Drosophila melanogaster: one gene and its partners. The protein of the gene in region 4 interacts with the protein of the main gene of each other region in a biochemical or structural test. Each region holds a gene or a part of one and is shown on either strand. Other genes may lie near its edges.

Region 1 (4,983 bases), on a different chromosome or scaffold from region 4:
CTTATGAAATTAAGCAATTTTGACTCCACCTCTTCCCCCAAAAACCACGCACACATGATAAAGCTTTTTTGGTATGGACCGAAACAGATTTACCATCAGAAACAAGAACAAGAAGTCCAACAAATTTTATGCACTTTTTTATGAGTTTGGCAAAGTGTTTGTAATTAAATTAATAAATTGTTGAGGGAGAAACTTGTTCCGAATGTGTTTTTCTTGTATTTTTATGCTAGGAAATTAAATTTTAATGGGGCTATTTAGTGTTTGTTTGGTTTTTGCTGTTTTTATAATGATAACTTTTTGGTAAAACAAATTGGCTTATAATTGTTGCGGGATTAAAGGGACTTAACTAAACGGGTGCGTAGATGAAAGAGACAATAACATTTATTTGTTTATGCTGACTAAGTTCATAGCCATTATAATATTTTTTATTGGGTGTTTAAATTTTCTTTTTAAAAGATTCTGTGTAAACGTAAATTAATCCTGACATAGTCATTAGCCCAAAAAAAATGTTCCTAGCTCTCAGGGGATTTCTCCTAAGCTTCTATAAATGCCTGACAGCTTTTAACCTTCATGGTTTTGTGGTAATTGAAGGGAGAAAAGAAAGCAGCACAAAGGAGGCCGAAATTGAATTAAGATATGTTTACCTATGGCCGAATTTATTTACATTAAAAGGTTCTTCAAAGAAGAAGCAAGCTAGAAAGGTTGTGCCTGTTACCTATCACTTATATTTTGGCAGCAAACAATACAAATACATGAAAATAAAATTCCGATTTAATTTGGTTTTATTTAAGGACTTACATCTCTCCCTTATCGAAAATTCGTTAGTTCACGTTACTATTTATTCGGATAATACAAGCTTAACTAGACTCAATTTAACTCTGATTTTATCTGGATAAAGTACTCTATTATATTTTCAGAAGTGCAATATAGAAACTAAATTTACCAAATAAACGCACCAATAAATATGCACTTATGATCAAAGCTCACACATATTTTCGACATCATCATCAGCAGCATCAAAGTTTTGCTATTTTGTTTGTTTTACTCTACACAATTTGTAAAGTTCCTGTAACTGCAAACGTCAAACCGAACTCGAGCAAACAAAACGCAACAAAGCTGAACTCAAAAAAGAATTCAAAAAAGATGGAAATAAATAAAGAACCAATAAGCCCTCTCTTCACTAGCTTTTGAAAAAAGTTCTGAAACAGCTGACATCCATGAGTTTCCCATCCTTCTTCTGCTCTGTGTGTTTACGTGTCTTACTCAAACTGTATCAGCTCCATATTGCCATTGATCTGCAATGATGCCTGAATGCAAAACATACCATTGTACAGTGGATACCCAACAAAATGAATCATTTCACATATGTTATAAATATGAAATAATTTAAATCTTAATTATATATTAAATGGAATTAAAATATTTGGACCATAAGAACCGATATATTGATATTAGTGGTGGATCCATTCTAAGTCTTGGTATATTGAATAAATTATGTAAAGTATTTTTACAACAATTTCTATTAGTTTCCAATGTTGTATACTGTAATTAAATATTTCTCTTTAATATTTTTTTTTTTTAATAAATTGTAACAAAATGCTAAGAAACGTTTACAATGAGCTTTGACAATATTCATACTCAAAGACTTATTCTGCATTTGGAATACAGTTGTGTCCAGTAACACATAGGCCCCACTGTACTCTCTGCGTTGTCTGTCTCTATCTCCTACTCCATTAAGTATGCAAGTTTTCAGCAGTTGGCAGTCGGGTCCTGGCCCTTTTCCCTGCATATCCTGATTCTCATGGATGCAGTGGGTTAATGTATTTTTAAGCTAAATTCTTTGTTTATATTTGCCTTGCTGTTTTCGGTTGTGTTTGTGTGTTGTGCATTGCGTTGCAGTGGCAACAACTGCTGTCCTTTATCAATCGCAACAAATTTCCCCTTCGACTATTTTTTTTGCGAGTTGTCCCAAAGTGAACTCTAGTGGATTCATTTATTCGCATATAAGTTTGTTTGGGAATTTTTCACAGATTGAAGAATGGCGTTGTGTGCGTGTCTGCCAGTTTTCGGGATTTAAGGACTTCGAGGGTCCTGGAGATAGTCTCGCTGTTTGTTTACTTTTTGTTGGCATGAAATGTGCATTAGCAGAGTTAACTGTTAATTGTTTACCCATTTCGAGGGCCTGACAAGTGACATGTGAGTTTGTGGTCTGGATTGTAGCTGTGGTTAACCATTAAATGGAGTTCAGTTATTTGAAATACTCGCACTAAGATAAATCGAAGTCTTTAATTGCATTTGAATGATCTGCAGTCCCAAACATAAACCTTTTACATTATATATTGTAATTAAGATTTTATACATAAATATAATATATAGCGTAACGAAACAAACGCATTAAACCAACTCCTTATTGCATTTTCAATTTTTAACATAGCTTATAATTACTTATCCTAACCGGCACTCGCACTTTTAAAAATTGTTGGAACTTTCGATTTAATATACTTCTGTCACTGATATTTATAAATAATATCTAAAGTTTGTTAAATTTAAAATTCCATATTTTTATAAAGTTTCTATTCTATTCTATGAATTATTAATAAAAAAGACTTTTCCGATGATCAAATTGTTCTTCTGTTTAAGACCTTAATAGTATGAATTGCATGTATTGAAATAATTAATTTACATACTGTAACTACAAGAATATTTTTGTGAATATTTAATTCTGTAGGTTAGTTTTGTGTTACGTATGATATACCAAGTTTTCAACCACTTTTACAAATTGTAATCTTTCAATAAAACGCTTACAAGTTTTGGTATTTTTTTAAATTTTATAATCAAGTGGACCTAAGTTTTTTAGCTCGACTTTTAAGTCATTTCTCAACACGATCACATTGAGTCAGGTGCTTCTAATTTGGCATCGATCACATGACACTTGAGTACGACTTTCCCTTTGCCGGGGATCTTTCAGTGTAACACCGATAAAACGCGTCCGCTTCGTGCAGAATCCGTAGCGAAACTGATTTGCCGACGAAACCTAATGCTCGCACAGAGCCGGGCTCTGGCTTTCCACCAACAACAATAAGGGAAAATCTAACGAATGGGAAGTGCTGTTACGTATACGCCGCGTTGGCCGAGTGATAACAGGCGGGGACGAGCCGACGGCCGACAGAGCGAGCCGAAGTGTAGCTTCGGTTTAAGCCAACCAAAGGACGCTGGATGCTGTTCATTGGTAGTTGTTGCTGCCGGTTGCTGGTTATGTCCGGTATCCTTGTTATGTTCGGAGGCTTGTTGTTTGCGTGCAACCGCAACCACAACAACAGACCGCAAAACACGCGACAAAAATGTTAACAGAGTCCAACCTGCAACACCATGCCCCAAAATCACCTCTCAAAGTTCGAGTTGCATGCCGATTCCGCCGTCGAACCTTTTTGGCTCGTTCCGGCTGAAGCTGTACCCTTTTAATAATAATTGAATTAAGATAAAATGAAAACAAAATCAAAACACATTTTTGCTTTCCGTTGGTTGCTGCATATTGCTATTTGGAGCCAAGTATTTAATTAGACAAGTTAATTAAATTTATTTGCATTTCATTTCAAGTCCATGTGCGTATGTTGAGCGAAAAAAGTGCAATTAATTTGAGATATTCAATTTGCAAGCGTTGCTTATTCGATTTTCGCTGATGCAGGACCATCTAATTGAGGGTGATAATTGCGTTTTATGACTGACTGAGCTAGCAAAGCTGGTTGTCAGTTGGTAGACGGTTAATTAAGAAGTTCTTTTCAAAGTTAACAGTGGTATTTTTGAATGGTTAGACAGATAATATTTTTAGTTACTTATTTTTTGAAGTATTTCATGATGATTTTATCCTATTAAATTAGGTGCACGAAAAAAGTTTTGCTATTTTTTAACTAGACCTTGTTTTAAGGGCACTGTAATCATCTCGACAAGCACTGGTCAGTTGTGCAGAAGGAAAAAAAAACGATGCATATCCGTCTGAAAGTTAGTCTATATATAGACGGATTGTATGCGATATGAGAGTGATGAATTCTCCCTGTTGGCCATACTGAACTATCTTAATGAACTCTTTCAAATCACAGACATCGCTCAATGCCAAAAACATTAAAACTGACAAGGCTAGACGGCAGACAAGATGACTGCTCTGTGACCCTCTCCCTGGGATTCCTCTACACACCACACACCCAAGGAGAAACGTGCACCATCGCTTGGCAAGTTCATTGTGGGGGGAATCCCAGAGGTGATAGGGCGGCGAGTGGGCGTGGTCGACTGTTGCGCCAGGATGTGACCAAAACAGGAAGAGTGGGTGGAGCGGGTGGATTAGGTGATGGCGAATGAGGAGGCGGAGGCGGAAAGGCCACAAAGGTCGTTGCAACACATTCGCTTCGTTGGGTCAAAAGTCAAGCGTTGGACGGGGGATCCCTTTGGATGCCAGCCATTACAACACTTTGTTGGCTGCTTTGTAAAGTTTTTCTCACCATGGAAAAAGTTTTTTTCTCTCTTTCCCAGTCTTTTTGTATTTTTCACGCCTTGTCCGAAAGTTTCCTGTTTTTCCCCTCTACTTGTTTTGCTATTTTTTCCCGCTGCCGCCTTAACAATGAAATTTTTGACTGCTGATTGTTTGCTGTTCAATGTTATTCTTCCAGTTCAATGCGAGTTTAAGTAGACAGAGCTAAACAAAATGGAAAAAAAGTATACAAAACCGGTCGGAAATATTGGACCTCCTTCTCTGGTACTTAGCCAAAGTCTGCAGCAAATTGAAAATGGAAAGTTTGGTTCCTGTTTTCCTGTGTAGATATATTCACAATTTCTTTTGCAGTTTGTCTGCGACTTTGGTTAAGTATGCCCTGCAGTCTAGTCTCTCTGCTAAGGACTGCCCAAATGAGGTAAAATAGTTTGGGGAATACTATCGGCAAAGTTTTGCCCCGGCTTGTCTGGTAAGATTTATATTTGGGATATTTGAGTTTA
Region 2 (4,130 bases), on a different chromosome or scaffold from region 4:
GGTTTCTGGTCCATTCGATCGAATTCAATATTGTTGTTTAGTTTCCGAAAATATTGGTTTTGTAATTGACTTGACTTTGTTCAATTCAACTCAAGTTCCCCGAGCCCCACCATCTTGTCTTCGCCCTCCAGTTTTCTTCTCGTTTTTCCATTTTGGTTCGCCAGCCCGAGTTGAACGAACCTCTTTCAATATCTTTCAGAAAAAGAACCCAACTTTGCTTTGCTCGAAAATCAATATTATTGTTTAAATATTATTCTACGTATACGACACAGCGAGCAATAAATATTTACTAGATGTGCTCATGTTGCAAATTGTATTGGTTTTTTGGGGTTGAGTATGCAAAATCAGCAGGGAAATGGAGCAGAAATTGTTTTCGAGATTAGGAATTGAATAGGCGTAGAAAAAAATGATATTCTAGGAAACTAAATCTTAAACAAAGACGAAAAGCCTTCCTGTTTTGTTAGATTATGGTTCCAACTTTGTATATTATCAAGAACTGGTAAAAAAAACATACACGCGAATTCTTTAGTGGAATTCTTCCAACAATTTAAAAAATGATTTATTTATTGGATCGAAAGATTTTATGTTTAAAATTAAGAAGCTTTAGGAAATACTTCAAATATTAATTATAATGTATACATATAATTGTAAAGCTTTGAAAATGTAGTGATCACATAAAAAATGGGCCATATTTAACAACTTCAAACGGACAAGGTCACTTGACTCCAAACAGTTTTGTTGAGCACTTCAAAGGCCTGAATTTGTTCATTCAATTGGGCCAGTTTACTGAATATCAAATCGAACTTGGAATCAAAGTGCTGCACCACTGCTTTCAGTTCATCGCGCAGTTTGTCCACCTCGCTGGGATCAGAACTACTTGTTATGGGCGAGGACTCTACGCTGGCGGAGATTTCCGAAGAGGAGGAGGAGTCCACACCCTCTTTTTCGGGCAAGCGATACATGCAGGCTATTCCGTGAAAGTATTCCCCCGGAAAATCGGGATCGTAGTTATCCACGGTATAGGCAATGCCATTGGCACGAATGAGCACATCCATTATGTTTCTCAGGCTGAAGCAGTTCCAGTTATTTCCATGAATATAGAAGTGCGTTAGTTGCGTGAGCGTGGGGAACGCGGATGGATCGATTTCCGTCAAATTATTGCCGGATATGTCAAGTTTCTGCAAATTTTGCATACCCTGCAACGCCTCCAGCGGCAGTTCCATCTGGCCCGTATTCCGCAGCACCAGCATCTCCAGATGTGGCGTCCGCCAACCGTCGGGCAACTGACCCAGGTTCGGATTGTCCGCCACATCCAGGTGCCGGAGTCTGGGCACGCGGCTCAACGACGCCAGCTGAACCAGCGAGTTGTTGCGCAGCACCAAATGCTCCAGTGCCTCGGAGGCGGGAAAGTACAGCTCGCGCACGCGATTGTCGCTCAGATCGACATTCGTCACCGATCCGTACAAATTGACACGGTCCAGCGAGCAATTGCGAGCGGTCAAATTGGTGGCGTTAATGTTCAGCAGTAGAACGACCAGCTCGGGGTTATTCGATAGATCCACATACTGCATCTGATGGTGTCGTCCGCGGGATCGAAAGGCATACTCGCCCACCTCTCGCAGTCGATTGTTCTGCATTGCGACCGACAAAAGGTCCGGATTGTGGGCAAATAAATCGCTCTCAATGGTGGTCAGTTGATTACCGGCCAGTCCCACGTGCCGCAGACTCTTCAGTCCGGCAAATACGTCCGCGGCTAAAGCCTCCAGGCGATTCTCTGTGAGATCCAGGTACTGTAATTTCAGGAGATTATCAAACGCACCCGCCTGCAGTTTGCCTAGTTTGTTGCGATTCAGGAAGATAAACTCCAAGTTTCCTGCTCCCCTGAAGGTTTTCGTGGGCAGCACTTCGATGTGATTATCGCTGAGCAGAAGAATCACCAGCTTATCCGCACCAATGGAGAAGTTCTCCCAGTAAATGAAGCGGATGCCACAGCCGCGCATGTCCAGCTCACTGACCTCTAGTGTGTAAAATAAGCGCAGGGGAAAATTGGTGAAGGTGCAGTTCTCGAAGATCAGGGTTCGCGAGTGCTCCTCATCGCCCACTTCGTAGGTGGTGCCATCCTCGGCAATCCGCACCTCCGTTGGCAGATCAAAGGTGGCCTTCTCGTCCTCTCCCGCAAACTCAAAGCCCCTGCAGCTGGTCACCTTGCCCTCCGTCTGGCAATGACCTTCCAAGCTGGAGACCAGCACTATTCGGGATGAGCCACTATCCACATCAGCATCCGCGTCCTCATCCGTAGTAGCTGTGGCCGCCAATGAGATCAGCAAATAGCTGCAGAGGAACGGCAGACAATTCCGGACGTACATTTGGCGTGCTCCACGATTCACGTTCGACCTGAAACTGATTCCAAACGTTGACCGCCAAACGCCTGGCCAGATAAGCTCCTCTATAATGCTCAAATAACGATCATCAGTTCTATATAATTGCCATCCCATTCTATTCATGGTGTTCTGATTTTGCGAAAATAAATATGGTTCATCTGTGGCGGGTACAGCGCATTTCGAAAATGTAAGGCAGGGTTTTTTTCTTTTTTTTGAAATCGGATTGAAATACTATTTCTATTTCGAAGAATTGAGATGCTTTGGAAATCACTGCTGACTAATTAATAGATTTAATTACAATTATTTGTCTGGGAACTCCTTTTAAAAGAAATTAACATCTTTTGCTGTACGAGAGAGATGAAAATCGGTTTGTTTTTTTTTGTACCTATCATTATTTTGACACTTGTCTGTGCTGCTTTTCCGTTTATTATTCATGATTTTTTGCTGCTCTATGGAAGTTCTCGCTCTGTTGGCTCCATTCAAAACTCACAGACTTTGAAAAAAAAAACAAAACTTTGTACAATATCTGTGGAGCAATTCCCACTCATTTCCAGTGTGTTCTCTTATCATGAAGTGTTTACTTAGCGATTTGCTGAACAAAAGGTGGAAATCTCTTTTGGCTGCTGATAGTGGACATGAGGCCAGACATTCGCCCATTTTTATGTAAGAGTATTTTCATTGGGGCCCATCCATCTTTGGCTTTTACCATCGAAAATATAGGCGCGTGGAAACGTTGCTTAAAATACCTTCTATATAATTTACACAACAGCCATTTAGCATTTTGTTGGCACTGCCTTGCGTTGTGTAGTTTTGCTGATGATTGCCCGAATGACTCATTATTTATCAGGCGAACAATTCAGTGGAGGGCATTTGAGTTTCGGTTTGATAAGAGCAAACGAACTTCCGTTAACTACTTTGTCGTCTGCATTTATTCCTAGTCTTATTTTTAAAGCAATCAGGCAAGAATGTAGGCACCTTTACACGAAAAACATTCGTAAATATAGCGAAACCAGAACTTTCGCCTGCGAAGCGGTGACATGTCCAGTGGAAAAATGTGTAAAATATTTAGCCAATTATTTAGCCAACATGCCAGCGGTTTTGAGAACACGTTCAACCTGCTTTCTCAGTCGTTCAATTTGCCAGTTGCAGCTTAGCGGGCGAAAACAAAAAGATTATGACAGGTAGAGCCTTATTAATTTGTATGCAAACAAATTTATACGCTTGTTGAAATGTTAAAAATTAATTTTCCATTCGTTTGCGTTGGGATTTTCTCGGCTTTGGCCGCCTGGGCAAACAAACAATTTGAATATCGATGGCTAATTTTTTTCACTTTATGTATTCACAATTGATCTGCCTGTTTGCATTGGGCTTATTATGAGCCAATGGCTTTTAAATTACTCGACTCAAGACGACTTTTGTTCTTTGCATGGCATTTGCCATAGCTGTATCTGTATCTATTGTAGCTGTGTATTGTATCTCAATTGAAACGGCATGACTTCGTTTAGCGTCTTTTTTTCACTTTTTCGCCTGTGCCCCCTTTGTTGAATTCAATTTGCCGCAATTACTTTGCATACAAGTTTCGAGAAATAAAAAAAAAAAAACAAAGAGTGAAAATTACCAGGCTTTTATTCTGTCGAGACTTTGTCCCCGCCGTCTGTACTTTATTCAAATCAAATTCGCCCAATAGTTTAGCAGTGTAAACAAATGCGATATAGAAATATATTAAATCAGAACATATAGCGCACCATT
Region 3 (4,720 bases), on a different chromosome or scaffold from region 4:
ATCTATTCATATGTACATAACTTGTTTCGCTTAGACCCAATAAGCCGACATTTAAATATCCTTTTAAAGTCTCAAAAGGTTCGTCAGAATCGGAGACAAAGTAGCTTGAAAAGTAAATGTATTATGAGGGCAAACTACAGTTTCAATTAGAACTCATTTTTAATTATACCCCTAAGGGCTAGGTAAATGGAGGATGTGGCATACATTATTTTGACGGTAACATTGTAATGAGTGGATGCAAACAATTTTTGGCATGTGAATGGATAGTGATAATGAAATATTCCCCTCCACCTTCAACAAGATTTAAAGCCTGAATCTGAAAAGCAGACAGGTTCTAGGCTTATGGGCGCCAAGCAAAAATGTCTTTGGCGTTCTGTAGGGGCTTGCAAGATAATTAGAAAAATAATATTTTAAAACCTTTTTTAAATTTATAATTAAGTACTCAGGTTCTTTTAAGTGACTACGTTTACTCTAAGTAACTGAGTTTATATGTGGAAGTGTTTCAAATTCATTTCTGATAATTAAATTTGGAGATCATCATATATTTCGGTTCCAATGTGAGCCAGTTCAGGGTCAGTTCAGACCAATACAAATAGTTCCATAGGCGCAGAACTCGCACACAATTCCTCTGTGCTCAGTACAAAGATCGAGAAATATTTCCAATCTCCCAGACGCAGCACAAAACCAAAGATCCCTTTTCTATTATGAATTCGGATGGATTCCATTCGGATTTTATAAGATATTAGTTGATTAACCACTAGACACGGCGGACAAGGAGTCGCGAAGCTTCTTGCCTTGGTTCCGGTTAACCAGATGGAATCGAGATGAGTCTCAGTCAAATTTCAAATTAATGCTAACTGAAGTGCATGACTTTTTTTGTGTTGACCGAGATGCCAAAATTTGGCAATGGCTTTGGGAAGTTTCGGGGAATTTCTCGACAGGCAAACAAAAAAAATTAGGTATTTCGGAAGTATGCATTGTATACATTTTGCAAAAAGGGTTCCCAAATATAATGACAAAATGTTGCACATAAATTTTGATTATTCGAGACCAATAATAAAATTAATTACGTTCCCAAAGTAAAGTTTCCCAAAAAAAAACCATTAATAAAGATTTTGGAAAATTGCGTTTACAATTTTCTCTGTGCACTTTGAAGCTTGAGATTTCCTGTGCCCAAAAAGGTCCAAATTTACATTTGCCGCATAAAGCCCTTTCATTTGCCTCTTTGCTCTTTTTGTGTGCCACTGCATACATTTTACACACTTCATTATTTAATATAAAATGCATCCTCACACGCACACCTGCGCACAAGGGAAGACAATTGCTGGGCAAGGCGATGCGAATGAGTAAAAACGTTATTTAATTAATTAATTTTCATTAAAAACACGACAAAATGCGACGGCTGGTGGGTGGGGAGCGGATGGTTGCGAACAGGGTCGCAGAGGGGCGCAGAGGGGCGTGGCTGGACGGCGCAGGACATTAAAGGACGAGCAGATGCCTGCTCCTTCCTTGTCCTGTCACGCTGGCTGTCATTTACAATTTTAATCTCGCTGTGCAGCAGTTTAGCTTAAGTTCGGACGTCGGGATAATGAGCGGCCAGGTCCGCGCTTAAGGATAATGGAGCCTGCAGCTGGACAGTACTCCCTGTCCCACTCCATCTGTAATTAAAAAATCGCGCATGCAGCCAGCACTCCCTTCACCTGGTCGAATAAGGGCCAACGACCAAGTTGGCTCACAAATTTCATGGCTAATAAATCACTTTTAATATTAATAAAACATAAATCATTGCCAACTAAAAACTTGGCCTGCTAGTTGGATGCTGCAGTCTCATTTTGGCGCCTTTTGTTCGATGGCAAAAAGTTTCGGAGGAGTCTTCCAGAAAAGGTACCTCAAGAATGTGCCAAACTGGTGGCGGATGGCGAGGGATGAGCGAGAGATTGAATGGGGTTTTAAAGTTCAGGTGGGTGAAAGTTCTTGAAGGAAATCAGAAACACAAAAAGGGTTCAAAGCAATACATGGATACCGGATTTAAAATAAAATTGAATTCGGATCGTCTTACAAACCACTAAAAAAGATATTGAAAACCTTACTTAATTTTTGCAATGTGTAATGTATGCTATCATATTATATAAAATATATAATTACAAACAATTAAAAACGAAAAGAACACAAGCTGACAGTTTTATAATTATGTTAAACAATTTATCAAATCGTTAGTATGCGACAAAATGTACGATATGATTTTGACCATAAAAGGTGACTACATTTTCCCCACACGAAGGTATAAAGATAGTTGTTTTTGGGAAAAAAAACTGGCAAAAGTTAATTTGCAACTTGGCAAATCAACTGTTTTATTTACTGAAAACAAGAAACGAGAATAAAGGATTCCAACGAGTGACGAGTGACTCACATAAATGCAAACAAAGAAAGTTAATGTTAGAAAACGGAAAGGACATAGAAATTCAATGAACTGAAAAGGAATTCACTCATGAACAGTCGAGAGAATTCGCAAGAAAACAACTCGATTGGTGTAACAATTGGTTGAAAGGCTGAGAAAAGAAAGGGAATGCTAACATACCACCGATAATGCAATTGACAAATGAGTGAACAAGCGTATGTGAAATGATTTAGGCAGCGATCGACGGGCAATGGAGTAAAGGACTAAACGAGGGATTGGCTTCACCTCACTAGTGTAGTAATTTCTAAATACGCAGTCACAGCTCACATCGTATGCTTCGCGAAAAACTTTTGAATTTTTGGGTCTTAGAATTACCTTGTTCGAAAAAACAAGCAAAGCTTCGAAACTAGTCCAAAGCACTGGCCAACACTAAAAAAAAACTTGAAAATAATCAACTAACACTTGTCAAAAACTCTTCTCTCGACTTTCAGCTAGAGTAATTGTATCATTGTATCGTTGTTGTTTCGCGCCACTCGAAACCCGTTTTCGAAACTTTGGAATTTTTAGTTTGAAACTGAGTCCTTTCGTGTCTCGAATCCACTGGACTGAACTGAACCGACGCGCTAGGAAGTTGCCCGAGCACTGAACCTGTCGCACCAAGCGCGTTTCGCATTGGGCCGACCCAGCGCAATGTGCTCGTCCTTCGGCAGCACGGCCATCCCGATTTCCCAATTTCCCGACTTCCGATGTCCTGGCACTGTGGAGTCCCGTGTCCCGTGCCTGCCATCCCGAGGCCAGCCGAAATGCTTCCGAAGGACGAGCTCGTGTGGCGGACGAAGGCGTCAGTGCTTGTCCTCTGGCAACATGTTGCCAGCAACATTTAGAAGCTGGTAAATTTACTAGAGCAATTGCCTTAACTTAAAACGCAGAGATCTGCATAAGTGGTTAGTTTTGCCCAGTTGATTATTATTGGTTGAAAAACATTCTAAAAGAAAAGAAAAACGAGTTAAAGTTATACAGAAACCAATTGCTGAAATATAAAAGGCTGTATGTTTTACCAAGAGCTAGTTTTTCGGTTGTTCGCTTTCATCATTTTTCAAATGGGATATAACATTGTTAGCTGTTTTGGAATACATATAGAATTTATATCAGCCGACTTTTGACGATATTTTAAGCCTTACCTTGTGCAAAAAATTAGGAAAAGTCAAAGAAAGACGAAAGCATATTGAAAATAAATCGAACGTTAGAAAATATATCTTTATTTTGCTTGATCACTTTTTAAAACATATTAATTAAATTTCCAAAAAAAGATTTTAATGAATGCGACTATCGGATATTTATTAATCACCTAAGGACTGTGCAAGGGAGATGGAAAGGTGGAAGCAAGCAGAAGTCTCAATAGACTTAACTTTTACTTAATTTACTTTACATAGGTTGCAATAGTTCGATTAAGGCAGTTTTTGTTGTTGAAAAAATAGGAACATTTTAGCTAGACATTAACGACAACTGTAACTATAACGTTTGAAGATAACTTGTAAGACTAGTCACTAGTTTTTATACACTTCCTTCTGCTTCTGTTACATACATACTTGTCAACGACTCCAGATTGCATTGTTTCTTAGCTAGGTTAGGTAACAAAACTTGTTTTGAGCACATCATCTTATTTTATTTATTTATTTAACAAAATTAAATATAGTATACAATACTAAACCTAATTAAATTTAATGAGTACTAGCTACGGGGGCCTTCGACTCGAGACTTATGGGTTAATTGCTTTATATAATAAACTTAGCTTTTTGGACAAATTTGTAAATTTTTGAGATATTTTCACAGGATGGGATACTTAAACAATTCGAGAGACTATGTGTACCAAATAAGTGAGATCTAATTGAGTGCAATTGACTGCAGGCGTTGAGAATATGGTCAACGGTGAGCTCGTCCCCGCATAGTTGGCATGTTGGTCGCGCCGATCTCGTCAGTAAGTGTTGATGTGTGGATTGGGTGTGCCCGATGCGTAGACGGATAAAGGTCGCGCATTCCCGTTTATGTACGTTCGTTGGTGGCTTGAACATGATGCAATTCGGATTGATAGACTGGTACCTGTGCATGAAGAGTGCCCATTCGGAGAGTTTCCTTTCTTTGAGGTATAACTTGATTCGACTTTTTAGGTCCTTGGAGTTAAACGGAGTGAACAGGATTGATGGTGTAAGCCTCATCTCTTGGGCGGCTTTGTCAGCAAGTTCATTCCCATGAATACCTTGATGACTGGGAACCCAGAGTAAGGTGATTTTTTTTGGGTGAGAACTTAGAATGTGCCTAACT
Region 4 (4,766 bases):
CTTTTACGAGGGGTTGGCTCATTTAAAGAAATATTTAATTTCGAGTAAATGAATTATAAATGCAATTTGCTGGCAGCTCTATTTCTTGTTTTGCCGCCGCCTTACTTATGATGCGTCTTTGTCCTCCGATGGCCCAGTCGGAGAATTAATTACGCCGCTGAAAGTTGATTCCCGCCATCCCGACGGGGATGCGGATCCGGATGCGGATGCGGAAGCCCTTGTGCCAATGCGACCACAACTGACCCAGTTGTTTAATTGAATTGAAGCCATAAACACTTGGAGTAGAACGACCACAGCCGCACAAAACGAGAACGCGTCGGGAATGAAAAATGGCCACGGCCAGGAGCACTCGCTAAATAACCTTAATTAGTAGTGCGAGTGCGGCCATCAATCACCTTTGCTTGCCTGCGTCAGAGAGAGAGATGACCAGAGAGCCGGCCAGCGGAAACGGAAATGGCAAGCGGAAACGCCAACGGATGCCACGTGGCCATTGCTAAGCATTTTGACAGCTGCGCCTGTCGCCTATGCAACAAAACACAGATACATTGCTCTACAGCGGATCAATAGGCATTCAAGTCTTATTAACTTATTACTTAAACTATCCTACAAGCATCATGCAAAAGTTCTTTGAAATTGTGGTCTGGCTATGAAACAAGCTTATGGATAGAACAAATAAATAAGATTATATGTTTTAGAGAATGTTGATTTGCCTATGTATATCGGAATTTCTTCAAGACAATACTTTTCTTATTTGTATTCATGTTCTAAAAATTAAGGAAAGGAAAAAAAAATAGAAAGGAGGAAATTAATCAAATTGCTAATTTCATCAACGTGGCTAGAAAAAGCAGCATTAAAAAAAACAAAAGCAGATGCGGTACCCTGCGCTGCTCTGCAAGAAAGCTGGCGTTTTTCAGCGAGTGGCAAGCAAAGTTGTTGACATCTTGTGAGCCAACACGTACCGCCAGTCGGCAGCAACAAAAACACACAGAACAGCACACAAAAAGTAGTAAACACTTGACGGGAGCAGCAGAAACAACACGAACAAACAGCCAGTAGTGCCAAAGAGAAGGAAGGACCAGAACTGAAGCTACGGCAAATGTTTGCTTAAAAATGATGCGAACCCCTACGAAAGAACAAGAATTTCGAAATGGGATGGGTTTTTGGATGGTTTTCTTGGTGGGCGGGGTAGATTGGGGGACTGGCGTTTGGGGATCGGATGCTTCTGCTGCCACTGACAGATGCAAGACGCGTTGACAGTGACAAAGACAATGATGACGACGACGACGATGGTTATGTTTGGGGCTCATCATCAGCAGGGCGATGAGGGGATGTTGGGATGGAGGCCAGCATTTGGCATAATCCTGCTGACAAAATGTCATTACACCATCCACACATAGTGGAGTTGCCTTTTGAAGTTTTCGGCGAAGGCGGAAAAGGCACTGCAAACTTAAATAAATAAATATGCCTTCCCGCTGACAAGTGAGGAAAAGTTCGTACAGATAGCATGTGCGCTGAAGTCTGTGTATTTTCATATCAAGGGAAAATAAGTTTTCAAGAGACATTTGCTCAAATTACAGTCATATTTAAATAACCCGAGAAATTGTTGGCGTTACTTCTGGCATTCTTGGCAAATTACTGCGAATGGATTTTTTGTGAGTTACTTGCATAAATGTATAGAATATGATAAATGTGATACAGTACCGCATTATCTATCTGTTTTCATTTAAACTTTATGTTATCTAGCCTAACACGTTATATATTTTTTTTCAATATAATTTGATGGAAACTTTGCAATAATTGGTGTAATGTAGCTGGTACCTTTTACTGCAAAGTGCCCGCCTAAATCCTGTTGACTTACCACAATATTTTTCGAAATAGTCCTTTTGCCGTAGTCTGGAGTCTGTTGCAGCTGCAGTTATTCCACTTTCCCCGAGGATCGCCAGTCACGCGAGTGGCCCAGTCATTGACAAATGGCCAGAGAACTTCTATTGTTTTATTTTTATTATATTTTACTTCTCTTCATTTTCAGAGCACTTTTCAATTGAGCTTTCTCCCGCTTCCCCGCGGAATTTGGCCTAGTTTGTTGTCTGCGATTTGGTGTTGTTTTCCAAATACATATTTATGTATGTATGTATGTGGGTTTTCCCCTGGCTTTGGTAGGCCTGCAGTTTTGAGTTACTTGGCACTTGGCTAATGCTTTTGTCTGCTTTTCTTCTGCTTTACTATGCTTTTCTTATGCTTTTTTCATGCTTTTCTGCCAGACGGGCGACGCAGTGTCTTTGCTTGCACTTGAGGAACCGTTATCTGGGTGGTGTACGAGTGTGCGAGTGTGTGTGCGCTTTTTTGTGTGGTTGAATTAGCGAGTGAGACACGAACTTTTGACCCCGTTTCGACAATAACAACACGAGAAGAGCAGAGGCTTGGCTTCCATTCTCCGGCTTTTTGAACCACTGGCCGGCTTTTTGGCTTTTCAACACCAAAAGCGCTTACATTTATGTCCGTGACTGTTTTGAGGGTTCTGAGGATTGCCCGAATGAAGGGTTTGCTGAAGTGCCCTGGCTTTTATTGATTTAGCAAGGCGTTATAGCCCGCAAATATAATACAAATCAGGCTCTCATTCGATTGGGGTTATCAATTGGCTTTAACTTTCGCATCAATAAAGTATGTTTACCGTTGGAACTTTAAGCACTTTCCCTCAACACATTCACAGTTCCATATGTTTAACGGCGCTTTTCACTAACGAATTGTTTATTGTTTGTTGTTTCCGCGTTTTTTATTGATTTGGCAGGGCGTTTTTTCCACAATCATAATAAATGCCAGTCATTTCCCGTTAGTTTTTTATAACCCATCAGTAGCAGTAGCACTACTTCCTTCGTTCTTCCTCTTCTCCCGTTGTAAAGAGTGGTTTTACCGTTAGGGTTTTATTAGCACTTTTCACTACAATAGCTGAAGTTCCGATTTGGGTTTTGCGCACGTTTTACGTAGCTAGCCGAAAACTGATAAAACATCCGCATACATGTTGTTTTTGCTCAGCCAGCGCCTCACGAACTGAGTTTAAGAACGGCGAAATACGCGAAAAGCCAGCATCTCAGCTCAGCTGTGATTGCGGTACTTTCGCTCTCTCTCTTTGGCGCCATCCGGAAAAGTACCGTACTCCACGTGGCTAGCGAACAGCTGTTGCCGCAGATGTTCCACTGAGCATGCGCAAAAGGAGCTCGCCGCGGGAAACTGGGAAATTAGAAAGCTCCGTTACTGGAAAATCGGTTTAGTGGGAACGGTTGCTAGCTATTTTCATATGCCATAAAAGTTTCTCCACCAACACGACACCTACAACTTGATGGCACCCAAAAGTTGGCGCGAAAGTCAACACTTCGCACATAAAGACATCTTTCCGCTTGGCCAACTTTTCGGGCCAACAAACTTTTCACATTACAAAAAGCGCACATTTTTTAACCCACATTTGGCATAAATTTTCGCATTACTTGGGTTAACCAGAGCTCTAGCACAAAAGAATGGTAGATATTATAAATTATTTGGGGAGTTTAGAAAACCACTCTCTTCTAAAACTCTACTCAAAATAAAATCAAAAAATTCGTCTTAATAGGTGTTTAATGCATTTATGCATTTTAGATTGGCAATTAGAAACAGAAACCGTAAATAGTATTATTATTACTGATTTAATGGCCTTCAAACCCTTTATTGTTAAAAACATTATCTTTTTGTCATTACTTTTGTTTTAATTTTAGTTACGTTTTTTATTGTTAAATAATTACAAAACCCTAATGCACAAAAATGCAAAAAACGTCGAAGCCAGCAAGCGCCGGCAGCGAAAGTGTTCAGCAACAATGGCCATCGTGACCGCTGTGGTTGTGCGAGTGGCCATGTCCGCCGGATCTGTGGACCGCCTTCTCCTCCTCCTCGCCTGACTGCTTCGCAGCCTTGGCCTGATCCTCATCGGCAAACTCGCTGAGGTCGCGTCGCATGGCATATGCATCCTCGCCATCGGCATAGTACTTGGGCTCCACCTCGATGATCTTGAACTTGAGGGCGTTGGTGTAGAGGTTCAGGGCAGCCCGATTGCTCTTCCTCACGTGCAGGGACACGTACTGGGCATTGAAGCACTCGACCATGGCCTGGGAGGCCTGATTCATGAGCTTCTGGGCCAGGCCCAATCGCCGATAGGAACGCTTGACCGCTAGCGAGGTGATGTGCCCATGGCGGCTCTCCTCATTGGGCTCCGGCTCCTCCATCTTGGCCAGGACATAGCCCACAATGGCGCCCTTGTCGTCAACGGCCACGTAGCTAAGCTGAGGCCAGGTTAGTCCGTGGTAAAAGTAGTACTTCATCTGGTAGTTTTCGGGTAGACACAGCAGATTGCAGTGCTGCATGGTCATTAGGTCTTCCGGTTTTGCGCAGCGGATGTTCATGGTGAGGCTGTGTAGATGTGCTTCCTAGTCTCGGCGAGCTTTCCTGGCTCTGCCGTGGTGGTGTGGCTGTTGATTCTGATGATCCCAAGCAAGTGGTTGCTGATCCTCCGGCTCCTCCTGACCCAACAGCTCTCGAACCAGACGAAATTTCGATAGAAACGCCTTCCAGATGAGGAACCAGCCTGCAAAATAGACAAATTTCAATATGACTTGTTGCTCGGATCGTAGAAAATTGTTTCCATTATAACGTGATCGTCTGCGGGCGCCTGCTTACCCAACAAAATAATTGCTGCGACGATACTAACAGAGGCTAATATGGTGAAAATGAAAGCCAAGCCC

What was found.
Region 1: the proteins of dpr6 (region 4) and DIP-zeta form a complex in vitro, tested with the Drosophila melanogaster proteins (one study listed by BioGRID).
Region 2: the proteins of dpr6 (region 4) and cDIP form a complex in vitro, tested with the Drosophila melanogaster proteins (one study listed by BioGRID).
Region 3: the proteins of dpr6 (region 4) and DIP-beta form a complex in vitro, tested with the Drosophila melanogaster proteins (one study listed by BioGRID).

Annotation. Positions count from the first base shown.
Region 1 is NT_033779.5:9,068,145-9,073,127, forward strand, and holds the start of DIP-zeta (Dpr-interacting protein zeta), read right to left. Parts: upstream 3,021-4,983; 5' UTR 2,688-3,020; intron 1-2,687.
Region 2 is NT_033777.3:21,158,689-21,162,818, forward strand, and holds cDIP (common Dpr-interacting protein), read right to left. Parts: upstream 2,405-4,130; 5' UTR 2,367-2,404; coding exon 702-2,366; 3' UTR 550-701; downstream 1-549.
Region 3 is NC_004354.4:21,454,693-21,459,412, forward strand, and holds the start of DIP-beta (Dpr-interacting protein beta), read right to left. Parts: upstream 3,047-4,720; 5' UTR 2,859-3,046; exon of another isoform or gene 2,774-2,858; intron 1-2,773.
Region 4 is NT_037436.4:9,972,937-9,977,702, reverse strand, and holds the start of dpr6 (defective proboscis extension response 6), read right to left. Parts: upstream 3,053-4,766; 5' UTR 1,859-3,052; intron 1-1,858. Other genes in the region: vnc (variable nurse cells), read right to left, coding at 3,837-4,427; CG42455 (uncharacterized protein), read right to left, coding at 4,452-4,609, 4,702-4,766.